Struthio camelus: one gene and its partner. The protein of the gene in region 1 purifies or fractionates together with the protein of each later gene. This does not show direct contact. Links are inferred from orthologs where the notes say so. Each region holds a gene or a part of one and is shown on either strand. Other genes may lie near its edges.

What was found. Proteins that work in one complex are often made in the same cells at the same time.
Region 2: the proteins of RABGGTB (region 1) and RAP2C purify together in Homo sapiens (co-immunoprecipitation; 3 studies listed by BioGRID and IntAct, counting the BioPlex papers as one, with this or other methods). This does not show direct contact. The link is inferred for Struthio camelus from reciprocal best matches to the Homo sapiens genes RABGGTB and RAP2C.

Annotation. Positions count from the first base shown.
Region 1 is NC_090949.1:39,135,484-39,142,644, reverse strand, and holds the start of RABGGTB (geranylgeranyl transferase type-2 subunit beta), read right to left. Parts: upstream 3,080-7,161; 5' UTR 2,993-3,079; coding exon 2,990-2,992; intron 2,325-2,989; coding exon 2,217-2,324; intron 2,050-2,216; exon of another isoform or gene 1,967-2,049; intron 1,086-1,966; coding exon 888-1,085; intron 1-887. Other genes in the region: ACADM (medium-chain specific acyl-CoA dehydrogenase, mitochondrial), read right to left, coding at 5,724-5,795. UniProt on the Homo sapiens protein: Catalyzes the transfer of a geranylgeranyl moiety from geranylgeranyl diphosphate to both cysteines of Rab proteins with the C-terminal sequence -XXCC, -XCXC and -CCXX, such as RAB1A, RAB3A, RAB5A and RAB7A.
Region 2 is NC_090952.1:24,215,373-24,222,988, reverse strand, and holds the start of RAP2C (ras-related protein Rap-2c), read right to left. Parts: upstream 3,020-7,616; 5' UTR 2,887-3,019; intron 2,795-2,886; 5' UTR 2,658-2,794; coding exon 2,385-2,657; intron 660-2,384; coding exon 381-659; 3' UTR 340-380; intron 1-339. UniProt on the Homo sapiens protein: Small GTP-binding protein which cycles between a GDP-bound inactive and a GTP-bound active form. May play a role in cytoskeletal rearrangements and regulate cell spreading through activation of the effector TNIK.

The DNA of each region.
Region 1 (7,161 bases):
AATCCAACACCTCAAATCCAACACCTCAAATCCAACGTGCTTTCTTCCTCAAACAGGACGTAATCATTTGTAACACCATTTAAATACTTCTTCCCTGAGATGGGATTAGGGATAAATTGTGATGAATCAAGCAATCGTTTAGAAGCATTTAAGCCTTTGGGTATTGCTTTCCACCGTGTTTTGCATAAGAATAAAAGAAAAGGAATTAAAGAAGAACCTAAGAGAAATTAAGAAGTAAGAAGGCATGAAATTACAACTGAAATGGAGAAAGTTATGAGGAAAAATAAGTTTGAGAATAATTCCTTTTCCTCTGGGGAAGACTACACACCAAACAAAATGCCCAAAAGACTGGTACTTTTTTTTTTTTTTTTTTTTACCCTCCCCCCCAGAATGTTTGAAGGATACAATATAAACTAGCTGCTGTAACATTTCTTTTATATATAGGTATACATGCACACGCACACACTGTGTGTGCACGTGTATAAAAGCAAATTTAATTATTTTTTTCTTATTCTGGTCATACAGATCTTTCAGCTCAATGTACCCTAAGAAGAATTTCGAAAATCCAAAGGCAATTGTCTAGAAACTTCCAGTAAAACATGTAGCTAAGAAACATTTCAAGACTGTTACAAAATTTAACCAGCATAGAAACAAAGTCACCATTAAATGAACATTAAAAGCACAAATTCCCACACCTCACCACTTTTTTTAGGAAATGACACAGCTAAATTCTAAAGTTTTGTTCATTAGATTTTTTTTACAGTGTACTGAAATAGTTTTTGCCATTAGTTTCTAATAGTTTAAGTACCCGGTTTGTAAATCTGCAATCATCAAAATCATTTATTTATTACAAACAGTTGTTTCCACCATTACCCTGTTCCATTTACCTGCACAGCACTGAGGGTATACAGAAGATGAGGATCATGACCTGTGCTGGCACTTATACCACCACATTCATGTTGACACGATTTGATGAATGCCAGAATTTCTTCTTTGTTCATTCGGTGCAGCTGTCCCATGAGATCCATTACCGTCAGCCCCCAGTAAACACCACTCATCCTCAAATACTCTGACATACAGTACTCCTAAATAGTACAATATTTTAGTCCTTAATCAGGTAAGCACATCATCAAGTTAGAACAATGAAAATATATTAGTTAATATCTATAAGCAGTTTCTAACATGTCAAGTATTCTCCATTGCACTAACAGCTTAGTGTTTATTAACCACTTATAAATTATATACTGTATGCATGCGTGTATATACACATACAGGTGCATGTGCACACCTATTTCTACACAGTACATTTCCTTGTATTTTCCAGTTTAAAAGTATCAAACTCAACATCAAGTGAAACACATGCAAGTAGTAAGTCACTAATTCAGTTCAGATCACCAGTTATTGTCTTGACTCCCAAACTTCTACTCAACCACCACCCCAACAGGTCTCAAAAACAACAGTGACACTTAATGAATCTTACTGCTAGTGTCAAAACTGCTGCAACCTTAAAGCTTCAGGAAGAAGTGAATTTTCATATACGATATCTTATATATACGCCCACCCCCTGAACTGATCACCTGAACTATCTGCAAAGTACGATTTTCTTCGTGCAGTACTTATAACTCCTATGTTCCAAGGACAGGAAAAACCACCTTAAGCAACAGCGCTTGAGTTCATTGGTGGCCAATAAGGATACCTGCAACATTTTTTCCCCCTCAAACATAAGCAGTTATTCACATTTTTCACCTGCCAGAACTGGAGTCCAATTGTGATTAGCTACACCTGATAACTACATAAAATGGACACTACTTGCAGTGTTTATTAAGCCTAGGAAGCAAGAAGCAGTTCTGAGGTGAGACTCAGTACAGCAGATAAAAGCATGGCATCTTATAAGAGAGCCACAGGAAAATAAACCTATACTCCTTATGCATTCTAGTGGATGAAGAGGCAAAAGTAGTTCATTTCCCAGGTCTCAGAGTAATTCTAGAGCTAAAGTGATAATCTTCAAATTTGTGCTCAGATAATACATGCCAAAACTCATCACAGACCTGGCAAAATGAAGGAAGCCATCTTCCTTTTATACTCCAATTCGGATTGAAGGGCAAGAAGGAATTCACTTGTGAGCACCTATCCAACCCCTAACTTTAAACATGCAAATAACAGTAATTACTGCTATTATTAAAGCCACAGCAGTACTGAAGCAAACTGATACCTACATAATCGTCTTTCTTTGTTCCGTAAGAAGCTATGTAGTCTGCATGTTTCTCCAAAAGCAGTGTGCTTGGGGCATCAGGTTTTATTATAACATCCTTTTGCGGCGTCCCCTTTAAAAAGTACCAACAAAATTTCAGCTGTATTGGGAACTCAAAGAGATTTTTAGTACCTAGGTTTAACTTAGCCAACACTAGTAACGATAACTGAACGGGAGAGGAGGCTTGCTGGCGGTTTTTTGCAGATTTTGAACAGAGGACAAATTTCATCTCACGTTGTCATTTCTCAGTCTGGATAAACCCTTCCCTGGCAAAGGGAACGCAACCCTTCCGTAAGGCCGCGGCCGGCGCCAACGAGCCAGCGGCAGCGGCCACGGCCCGCCGCCTCCCCCGCTCCGCCACATGCGGAGCCGCGCCGCCGACAGCGGGCGGCGCCAGCGCCGCCATGTCGCTACGGCCACCCGCCGAGCCGCGCCGGCTTCCGAGCCCAGCCCAGCCCAGCCCGCCGGGCCCCGAAGGAGCGGCCGGGCCGGGCCCCGAAGGAGCGGCCGGGCCGGGCCCCGAAGGAGCGGCCGGGCCGGGCCCCGAAGGAGCGGCCGGGCCGGACACCCGCCCCGGGCCCCGGGCCGCCCGCCGGGCCGGGCCGCGCCGGGCCGGACACCCGCCCCGGGCCCCGGGCCGCCCGCCGGGCCGGGCCGGGCCGGGCCGGACACCCGCTCCGGGCCCCGAAGGAGCGGCCGGGCCCGGCCGCCTCCCCGCCGCGCGCGGTCGCCACCCACCATCTTCGCCGTCCTCGCCGGAAAGAGCGCGCAGCGGCGGGGCGGGGCAACAAGTAGCGCCCGCCGTGGCTGCCCGCCCCCCGCCTGCCGGGCCCCGCCCCCGCGCCCCGCCCCGCCGGGCCCGGCCCCCGCGCCCCGCCCCGCCCTGGCCCCGCCCCGCCCCCCCGCCCCGCCCTGGCCCCGCCCCGCCCCGCCCCGCCCCCGCGGCGGGATCGGCGCAGCCCGGTCCCGCTCGGGCTTGCGGCAGCCCCGGGTCGTCAGGAAGCAGCGGAAGGAGCAAATTTATCGTAATTTCAACTGTGGGCTTTCTTGCATCACAACAAGCAGGACGGCCACTAAAAATAGCCTCCGCTTCCTTCTGCCACCTCACTTCTATGAAAAAGCAGGTCCAAGAATGTCGCTGCAGAACGGCAGGGGTAACCGTCCTCCTTGCTTTCAAAAAGAAAAACCTTTGCTCCCCAACTACAGCTGTTTGCTGTGATTACGCTATTAATCCTCAGCATAGACCTCTGGCACCCGTGGGGCACAGACCCCTACCGCGCTGGAACACGGTTTTGAGACTATACAAGAACATTTATGTGCAATAATTCTGACTTACACAGAGCGGTCAAAAACGAGGTCGTCTTTGAAATCCCTATCCAGGATGTTGCATTATTGATCTGCCTGCAGGTAAATAAGATGGTAATTTACATGATTATAACAGTTTATTTAAAGGATCATGTTATTGAAGAACATACTAATTCCCCAGATGGCCTACCTGAGAAATAGCATCGCAAAGCTCACACCTGATAACGCTAGTTGTACCATCCTACGCTAAATCCCGATGATGGATGAAAGAGACCACAGTGAAACAAGGAGATTCTGGTGAGAAACTGCAAATTAAGTTGTCCAAGCAGTCCAGGAAATGGGCATTCTGACAGCACAATGATCTATCCAAGCTAAAATATGTCACAGAAATTGCTCTTCTCAGCTGTTTTTGCTGCAACTTTACTTAAGTATATACTGATGGAAAGCATTAATAGGTTTAAATATACTGGATTTGGAATAAACAACATATGTAAATCATTCTTAAGGGAAAGCTACACATTTCAAGCGAAAGTGAATCGGCCTTACTGAACATTTACACTACTACACTTGCAAGTAAGCGGTTACAATCTCTGTAGTTGATATTTTGTTCCTACTGGACGGTATCTAGATCCTCACAACAGCTACACATAAAGGCAGTAGCAACGCAGACCTTCATACTGTTGAACTGGAAAGGCTGCTCAGCTGCTCTTTTAAATTACAACGGCCAGTTTCACCAGTAGTTTCTGGTATGCACAATACTCCAGTAGGAACTGCAGTGTAACTATTAACATATTTCAGATATTGAACTCACCTGAAATAAAACTGAAATGATGTCACAAGCAAAGGGAATAAAAACAACCACATCTTTCCACTTGAAAATAGGTTTTTATTAGCATTCAGCAGTGACTGCCAGAAATAACTTCTGGCCGCCTAATTTTAATGTGAAAAAACATTGTGTTGTGATAGTCTCAATTTTTGCCCTTTTCGAATTAGAACTTTTGAGGTAATATCCAAGTTTAGAAGAGAGCTATTGTACTTGAATGTATGGCATAGTTTCCTAGAGGTTATTTCACACGAGCTCAGTTAAATGAAAATGTTTTTCAAATTGAATGACGCTCTTTTTTTCCTACTGTGACACAAGTACGTAACTGTGTTTCTCAAAAAGCTGTCCTTAGCATTCAGCCATAAATAAGAAGTCTTACTTAAGGCACAAGAAAACAAGTATTTTCTTCATAAATGTAACAGATTTCTCTGAGGCACAGAGATAAAAGCATTGCACGAAAATTTCTGTCAGTGCTGGACTCAGGTGAATAATATGGTAAGTCACTGGAAAGAAGCCCTATTATACTTTATCTTTTGAAAACAAAAACTAGTTTTTGTTCATACGGACTCATGGAGGCAAGCGATATGCAGACACTCCACAAGTGGTAATTCTGCCACTGTTTCAGAAAAATAACAATTATCTGTGTTGTACTTTATGGGAATATATATTTGTTTTTGAATGGTCCAGAACTTAGTATGTATTCATTTTGAAATTCAAAAGATGTGAGTTTTGAAAACCCCCAAAACCGCTGTGTTAGAATATTTATTACAGCATGTGATGACCTGGACACAATATGCTACAAAGTGTGATCCCTGAAGAATCAGAATAGCTTTTTAAAGTAGTTGTGTTCCTGAGAGTTATTAATTTGATATCCACCTGAACTCCAATGACAAAGCTATAATTTATCTCAGTAGAAGCAAATCTGTGTCATTATAAATAATATAGAAGTTCCTAAAATCAAATTACTTGTTACATGTGGAATGGCTTCCCAGGCAATAAACATATTTCTGAATTCTGTTCACTTTTTTAATGTAAATTTTACAGGGAAGGTTTTTACCTCTTCCCCCACCGAAAGCCAAAGGCTTGAATGAAAAAGCCTAAGTGGGGAAAGACAAAAGACAAACAATCACTTTGGAATTCAGACATGTTTGGAAAATGCCAACTTTGTTAGGGAGAGAGTGGGGGATACTAAATTAGTGCTTAACAACGTACAAAAGAGTACGATTTTGAAGGAAAATTATTTTTTCCCACACCTTTTTAATTGTATTGAGAAATGCATTAAAATTGTCTTCTTCTGAGAACACAGAACGTGACAGCGGGGCCACACACACTCTATACCTTTCTTTAAACCTTAAATTTGCCAACATGTTCACGAGCTATGATCATCCTTTGAATCTGAGAAGTTCCCTCGTAAATCTGCAATGAAGAATTGCAATGACGTTAGCTGATCGGTTTTTAAAAGCTTTTAATAGACCTTTCTACGCTTTTTAAACCTTCATAGGGTTAATCCCACGTGGATTAGAATGTGCAGAAAAACAGAAAATTGAAAACAATTGCGATGTGACAGAGTAGCTATAGTGGGCTAAATGAAATCAATCCCATACAACATATTGAGAGATAGTCATGTTCTCTCAGATGCTCTCAACCAAAACTCAATGAAGTTCCTAGGAAAAGAAACGGGCATAGTGGGTGAAGAAGAACAGGGAGAAACATCTTATGTGGGGAGGAAAATACATCATCCAGGCTTGACAAAGTAGGGTTTAAAACAAGGGGAGGAGGGGAGGAGGTGACTTGTGCTGAAAGAGCTGTACTTACAATTTCTTTGACAAGCCTTGCAAGGTCGTACCAAATGTTCCCTTTCGTCTATTTATTCCTACTAGTTCTTGTTAACTAGTACTCTCTCCAGTATTGTATTCCTAGTCTTTTTTTTTTTTAAGCTGTTTTATGAAGCTGTAACGCAGAAGGACCTTGATCTCCATATGCTCTCAGGTATATAAAAGCTCTAGGGTTATTGCATGGTAATCTGAGAGCAGAGGCAGCATAGCTGAGGGGTTAAAGTCCTTGAGTTCCCAGTTCTGCCAAAACTTGGTTTGGCAAGTTGCTAAAATTCATGCAAATTCAGTTTCTCCAATCATAAAATATGCATAATCTTCCCAAGATTATTTTCCCACCTTACAAAACTTGTTGAAATGAAGGGTGCTATAAACTATGGTCACATTAGCTTCTTGGTTCAAAGGAATTTGGTTCATTCTCAAAGTGAATTCTCCGACTGTTGCTACATACCGGTTATTTATCCAGTTCGTAGAGCAGATTTTGTTGTGTGCATTCCAGGTGCCTTTTAGAGCAAACTGAACTGGAAGCTCTGCTCTATACATACCAAACACTCTCCACCTCCTAATACAGACACAAGGGTCCCAGCCTACAATTGCAGTCACATGTGTTGTGGGGACATTCAGTCCAGGGGACCAGACAGGCCCACATTGAACTAAACCTCCCCAAACTGCATATAGTGTAGTTGCAGGGGCTTAAGTACCTACTGCTGCAATCTACCAATCTGCTCCTATGGCACTAAATTACTTGCTAATGAAGACAGCCATGGAACTCAAATGCAAAGACATCAAAACTCAACATTTCGTTAGATAATTGCTAGAAAGGCTTTAGTTTAAAACCCTGTGGAAATAGTTTGAAGATTCACTGACCAAAAAGAAAAAGGGGGCCAGTTTTCCAAGTTTGAGAAAGGAAATTAAGTTAGAGTTTCTGTCACAGTAGCCTAGCTCTGTAA
Region 2 (7,616 bases), on another chromosome or scaffold:
AATGGTGAATCCTACTGCAACATCCCAACACATTACTAAGGATAAGGTTAGGTCAAATACAGCACTGTCAGTCAAAATAGGGACAGATGAGGTCATACACTCTGCCGCATTGTAAAGTTACTACAGGTAAAGGCAACGTTCCCTGATTAACCCTACCCAAGTAATGCAAGACGACCATTTGACTCAAGTACGCATTCGCAACTGAATCCACAAGCTTGCATCTCTTTCAGAGGAAAGCCACCTCCAGGTTAGACTACTTAATTTCAGACTCTCTGTCCCACTTTATCTGCTTACTTAAACAGCATGATCATGCACCTCAGTTATGACTGTTCAACCAACCTGCTCTGTATGGCCATGATTGAGGTTTTTCTTAATTTTTCTCACTGGACGATGCAAGTTGTACAACACTGATCTTGTTTTTCAGGCAGGGAGGCATAGTTCATTTGTCTGACGATCTCAGCAAACAGTTCATCCACCATTGTTTTGCTCTTGGCTGATGTCTCCATGAAGGGACAGCCCCATTCCTGAGCCAGAGCTCTGCCTTCTGCAGATAAGACCTCCCTCTCCGACTCCAGATCCACTTTATTCCCCACTAGGATCAGAGGAACTTTCTCGTATCTCTTCACCCGAACAATCTGGTCCCTCATTGGCTTGATGTCCTGATCAAACAATCAGACTGGTTAGTATGCATAAGTAATCACATGAAACTGCCTCAGCCACTACAGAAACGCATTTTAATAACCCTTACAGGCAACTGAAAATACTTTAGAAGATTTCTTAAATTCATATCCATGTGGATCTAGAACTCAGGCAGAGGAAGTTCACTGTCCATCTTTAATAATAATAATAAAAGTATATTTCCGGTTTATATGAATGCATACTTTATAAATGTGTATATATGTAGTTACTACTGTATTCTGAAAGTTTTGGTTCAGCTAGAGGAAGATACAGTACGACTGGTTTCAAGGCAGATAGATCTCTGTTCTGCTGAGAATTTTGTCTCAAATCTAAATGCCAGCAGATTTGTAACATTTGTAGCGATACGTGTATTACTACACAATCATTTAGGAAGTCTGTGCTTGGCTTACAGCTTGAGGAAGCTAGCGAACAGTCTTCTCGCTTCTGGAACGCTTAAGTTGATTCATTGTAAACACATTTAGTCACATGTAAGTAAGCAAATTAGATGCTATAAGGAGGTTTTATTACCTAGAGATGCATTTATTCAAGTCTGAACTAACATCAGGAGTTTACCGTTTAAAGTTTGAGTCAGCCTCCTCTGCCCTTCTGAATGTTTTAAGTTACTATCAGCAGGACTCACCTCTACAGATTCTTGCATAGTTTTGAGACAAAGCAATTGAGTGTTTGAAGTTGCCACTGCTTAAAAGAACTGTGGAGAGTGGTTTACACCTAACAGCTATGGAGTAAACATACAGACAGACAAGACTAATTAAATATTAACAGGGTGGATTACTAACGGTGTGCCTATTCCTTGAATAATGGGGAACACTCAGGTTCCAAAATAAGTGAAAATGAGGGGAGAAGCATCCCAATGCCACTGCTGTTGTTTTCCAAAGAAAAGTATGCCTTCAGCTTGCACTGAAACTATATTGAGGCCTCTACTAAGATAAAGCTTAGCCTTCAGCAGAAGCAAACATTCTGCTTCAGTGGGGGTGTGCAAGGTTTTGCCAAGCAGCTGGAATACACCCAAACCAGCAACTGAAGCCAACGCAGAAGCTGCAAATCCCTGCATTACATGCATGGCTGCTAAACCCAGTTATTCCTCAGAAATAAAGACATTCCTAGGGGCAGCTTAAACCAGTTACTGGCTGATAAGTTTTGGGTTTTTTTTTTTGAAACAGTTTTAATAGTACAAAAGGAATCCAGATCCACAAGTTATCACATACGGCCTCCTTCTCTTCTCTAGCACACCACCTACACTGCAAAAGCATAGAGCTTACACTGGAATATGGGGGGTTTCGGGGTGTGTGTGTGTGGGGGGGGAAATCAGAGCTTATTTAAGTCAAAGCTGAAGAGCACATGCCCCGCTCCCTAAGATCAAGCAAAGAAACACTCCTCTTCAGCAAAAAGGGAAGTCTGGATTTTAATATCGAGCGATTTCTTAATAAAAGGGGATTGCCAGCAGCGTTTCTATTGGGGAAGTGGGAGCTGGCGACTGTTCTCCCACACTGCGTGGGATGTAACAGCGGCGGCACCCTGATAAGTACCTGCCGAGCAAGCACTTTTCCACTAGGAAAGGCGGTTCGTGGAAGTACTTTTTGAGGAGACATTTTCGCTTTTGTCTTTCCGGAAAGGGGGTGGGGGGAAGCTAAGCCTGAAACTTCCTCTCGGCCGCCGCGCTCGGCAGGGGCCGGGGCAGCGGTTACCTGGAAGGACTGCTGGTTGACCAGGCTGTAGACGAGGATGAAGCCCTGGCCGTTTTTGATGTAGAGGTCGCGCATGGAGGCGAACTGCTCGGTGCCGGCCGTGTCGAGGATCTCCAGCACCGACGGGGACGAGTCCACCTCGATCTCCTTGCGGTAGAAGTCCTCGATGGTGGGGTCATACTTCTCGATGAAGGTGCCGGTGACGAACTGCACCGTCAGGGCCGACTTCCCCACGCCGCCGCTGCCCAGCACCACCACCTTGTACTCCCGCATGAGGCCCCGCTGCCGCTCGCCGCTCCCCCGCCGGGCCCGCCGCCGCGGCGCGGGCCTAGGGCAGGCGGCAGCGCGGCCCTCGCATAGCCCCGGCCCGCCTGAGGAGAAGGGCGAGGCCCAGCTGCTCCGGCGCCGTCCTGAGAGGGGAGGGAAGAGATAGCCGTTATGGTCCGGTCCGGTCCGGTCCGGTCCGGTCCGGCCTGACCCGCCGCCCCGCTCCGCGCCTTACCGCACCGCCTCACTCCATCGCGCCTCGCCTCCGCCTCGGGAACCGCCCGGCAGCCGCCGCCCCCGCCCGGTAGGGTTATGCTGAGGCACCCGGAAGCCTGCCCCTCCCCGCCCGCTTTCCCGGGTCACATCCGGGCTGGGAGCTACGCGGCCGCGCCGTGCCGGGGGGAGGCTAAGCCGGGGGGACGCCAAATAGCGCCGCACCGGCCGGAGGGAGGTGCTGCGTCACTGCCCGCGGAAGCAGGGCCCGGCCGCGAAGGGCGGGGACACGCGCGGGGGACGGGTTAGCGAGTGGCACCGAGGCGTCTTGCCGCTTCCTCTGGGGGGCGGGTTAGCGTGTGGCACCGAGGCGTCTTGCTGCCTCTTCCGGGGGACGGGTTAGCGAGTGGCACCGAGGCGTCTTGCTGCCTCTTCCGGGGGACCGGTTAGCGTGTGGCTCCGAGGCGTCCTCCTGTTGCCTTACCTTGCAGGGCGGGTAGAAGGCAAACATGGCCGCTGCCCAGCCCCCTCCACACCCGTCCGGGCAGGCCGGAGGGAGCCGCTCGGCCTGGCCCCGGGGCAGAGGGGTGGGTGGTCCCTGGGCTCTGTGGCCACCACCAGGGTCCCAGCCTCCTGCGTGCCTGCCGAGGCCGAGTGTCCCCTCGTGCCGGGCCTGGGAGGGACGCAGTGGCGCAGCCTGGTGCGAGGAGTGGGGCCAGTGAGGGGACATCTCCCTGGTGAGGGGATGTCTCCATGGGGCCTGGTGAGGGGAACCTCTCCCTGGTCAGGGACCTCTCTCTGGTCAAGGGAAGTCTCCGTGGGGCCCAGTGAAGAGATGTCTCTCTGGTGAGGGGACATTTGACCAGCAAGGGGATGTCTCCGTGGGGCCTGGTGAAGGGACATCTCCCCAGGCCTTGTGAGGAGTCATCTCCCTGGTGAGGGGACATCTCCCCATCAAGGAGACGTCTCCCTGATGAGGGGACATCTCCCTAGGCCTGGCGCAGGATCATCTCCCTGGTCAGGGGACGTCTCCCTGGTCAGGGGACGTCTGCCCAGCAAGGGGACATCTCCCTGGTGAGGCTCAGCCAGGCGCGGGCTGCCTCCCGTGGGACACTGCCCCGCCGAGGCACTCGGCGCTGGGTCTTGGCCTTGGTGCAGAAGGTCTCATCGTCCCGTCAGCTTCCTCCTGGGAGGGCAAAGGCAGCTCCTGCCCGGTGGGGGGAACTCCTTTGGGCTTCCCGCGTCACCTGGGTATTTACAGGAATGATTTAGTTCTGGAGTTGTGGGTTGCAAATGTTACTTTATTTCTTAAATCACTTTCTATTACCATTCATCCCTCCCCCGCACACTTTCTCTTTCCAGAGAGATTAAATTAAGGCAGCATGAAAGAGGAGGAAAAACAGCATCACATGTTTTCAGACTTTTAAATAGTGACAATGTTAGGAACTTATTTACAGTTATTTGTGTATAAAAGGTTGTGAAGAATTAACTTTCTCCCGATTTCTGTTTTCAGACTAGAATCTTCCTTTATCTAAACCATTCTTAATCCCAGCATAAGTTCCAGAAACGCAGTTGTCTGTAGGAATGTTTTGGCCAGCTCTTACTCAGCACTTGTTACTGAAGCAAAACTCACCCCTGAGGCTCCAGGCAGGAAGCAAAGTATTGGTTTTTTCTGGATATTGGTACAGTGGGAGGAAGAGAGGGGTGGAGAGGTGCTTAGTGTGGATTTTTTCTGGATATTGGTACAGTGGGAGGAAGAGAGGGGTGGAGAGGTGCTTAGTGTGGAGGGGAAAGAGCGAGGCGGGTGGCTTAAACCTGTGGAATAGACAGTGATTAGCAGGGAGGAGGTGTAACATAATCATAATTTAACATGCCTGAAGGCATGCTGTAGATAAATTGGTCTAATGAAAGATAGCTCTCCCTACAATCTTTGTCCTGTGACCTTCATAATTACAGCAAAAGACACAAAATTTTATAGCTTGATTGTCATGTACTTTCCTAACACTATCAGATGTTCTGTAAACAGCACAGAGGCTTTCCGTTTTGCTTTTATTTTCTTTTGCTCAGAGTTGTTTGCATGAAAAGCCTTACAGAATCAGCAGTAACTCTCTACAACAATAAACTAGTGTTTTATGGCTCCGCGTTGCTTGATGGCTTGAACTGCATCATCGTTCCCGCTCTCCTGACACACGGTCTGAGGTGTCAGCAAACGCCAGATGTCAGTAAGGGATTGAGAACAGGAGCAAAGCTGCTGAAATAACCTTCAATAAAGTGCCAAACTAAAGTATTAGATATTACAGCCCATCCCTAGCATTTCCCAGACAAAATACTTCCCCTGTCATTTTCTGAATTTCCCCCATCACTGAATTTCCCCCATTGTTTACAGGAAGTAACTAAAAATAACGAATAGCTGTTTTTCTTTTAAAGCAAAGTTCCTCAGTCGCTTCAGAACCTAATTGTTTTCACAAAGTGCTTCGCCCTACGAGAAGCCGCCCTCTAACATGATCACATTTCTTTCTGGGTACGAGATAGCTGCTTGTCACGGTCTGCAGAATTTCAGCAGATATATGTAATAGGTGGGATTTGTCCCTGTCCTCTGTCCTCCGTGTATCACCTATTTGATTGCAAGTCTGCAGAGGCTGCTGGCTGTGTTGTGCCTCTTCCTGGGCTTCCAGCAGACCGTAGAGAGCTTCCTGGTCAAGGTAAAACATCTTCCAGAGATGCAGTTAAGGTACTGTATAGACGGCTCTGCTTGTGGCTATTTTTGTAAGTGGCATTATTTTCTTCACTTTCATTCCAAAAAGGATTTATGTCCATTATGGGGAAAACTCAGAGAGGGCTTCTAGCTGTCAGAGCAAGTCTTACATAAGTTACACCAAATTTGAGTCACTCGTCTTTATTACATGTAAGGAATAACACCTCTCCTTCCTTTGCCTCTGAAATTGTTTTGTCAAGTGAATTGCTGGCATGAGTTATGTGTGCATGGATGGAAGATGTTCATGTGGCTGGTGAATCAGCTCGAAGATGTAAAGAGGTGAGCATTAAAACAGGCTGCCTCCTACCTCAACCTTATTATAAATCACGAGCAGTTGCAAAGTACCTAGTGCATTGAAGGTGCTCAGGATAAAGAAAAGAAAGATACGGTCCCTTGCAGAGGAGTTTCCAGTCTAATTTTAACCATGACAATAAGTGACAGTGACAAAGGGGAGGAGGGAGAAAAGGGGAAAGGGAGGATGAGGGTTACAATAATAAGATTACACGGTCACTTAGGTTCATTCTGTGCCTGCCTTTGTGGCACTGCTGGTCCATTGTGTTACCAATGGGTGGAGGGAAAGAAAGTGGGGCAGAGAGCACAATGAGGGGGCGAACCAAGGAAAACCAAATATGTTTTGATGTGGTCAGACTCTACCCAGAGCGACTGGCTCTTGGATGGATGGGGCAGTGCAGTTCGTAATGTAGGATTACCAACTCTTTTTTTCCCTCCAGATCCTCAGTGTATAATCAATGCCAGTTTAGATTCCTGGAGGTTTAGCGCCCAACTTCATGGCTGGCCTTACCTGTTTACATCCCACCAAAAAAGGTCTCTCTCAAAGTGTTCCCTGTTGTCTATTACCCTTGCAGCGAGTCGTTCCCTTCATCCTGCGTGTCGCCACATAGCTGGATGTACAACAGTACCTAGCGGTGTAAAAGGTTTCGAAACTCAAGGAGGGAATAGCTGCATCTTCCATAAACAGCCAAGCCAGGAGCAAGCTACGTAGAGTCACCGTGTGCCGATGACTCCCGTTCGCTGCTGCCTCACTCCAGCCGTCTCGGCACCTGCAAGGTGCAGCACATCCCAGGCTGGAGGCCTTGTTTAATCTCTGCTGCCGCGCTCTCCCCGGCGCCTGCCAAGCGTGCTTGAAAGGCCCAGGGCTCCAGCCACGCTGCTGCTCGCCGCCCCGAAACAAACCTCCCAGATGCGCCCGGGCAGCGCTGGACTGCTGCTGGTGCTGCTCGGCCGCAGCGTGCCGTGCCTGCAGCCAGCAGCAATAAAGCCGGCTCCTACTAAATTGACCTGCAAAGACACGGATCGCGCAGCGGCGTTGGAGGAACGCACAGACGGCATGAGCGAGGGCCAGGATTAATTGCAATCCCTCTTGTGACGGTGAGAGACAGCTCCTGCCCAGCACTAGGTCCTGCAGCAGGGCGCTGCCCTGCACAGCCAGCCCAGGGAAAGAGCAGAGGGGAGCACGGCCGAGCCCTGGGCGCCGGTGAGAGCGTCCCGAGCATCCTGCGGCCGGGTGACTTCAGCAGCGTGGGATTGCGCCATCCTCACTGCCAGCCGGAGCCTCCCCGGCCCAGTCCGGGCCACTGCGTGAGCTCAGCCCTGCTGCCGCCGGTGCCGCTTTCGGGCTGTCCGCGCTGTAATTAATGACTGGCTCCTGGATGAGACTCACGGTGTTAAAACTATAAAACAGACTCTTCTCTGCCAGGATGACTGCAGCAAACTGCTGAGCAAAGACGACCGGGTAGATACCCAGAAGGGGTAGCCTGGATTTCACCTAAGTTGCCCAATGAAAACCATCTAGCTGGGCGCATAATGTGTGTCAATGTATGCAAAACTAGGTTAAGACCTAGTGTCATTTCTTCACCTCTTCCAGAGGTTTTGCTAATGCACTTATTGTGCCTGAAGGTATTTAGCATGTAAGCTGCAGGACAGGGACCGGCTCCTCGGGGTCCGGCAGCTCCTAGCGCACTCGGGCGCTGGTCTCA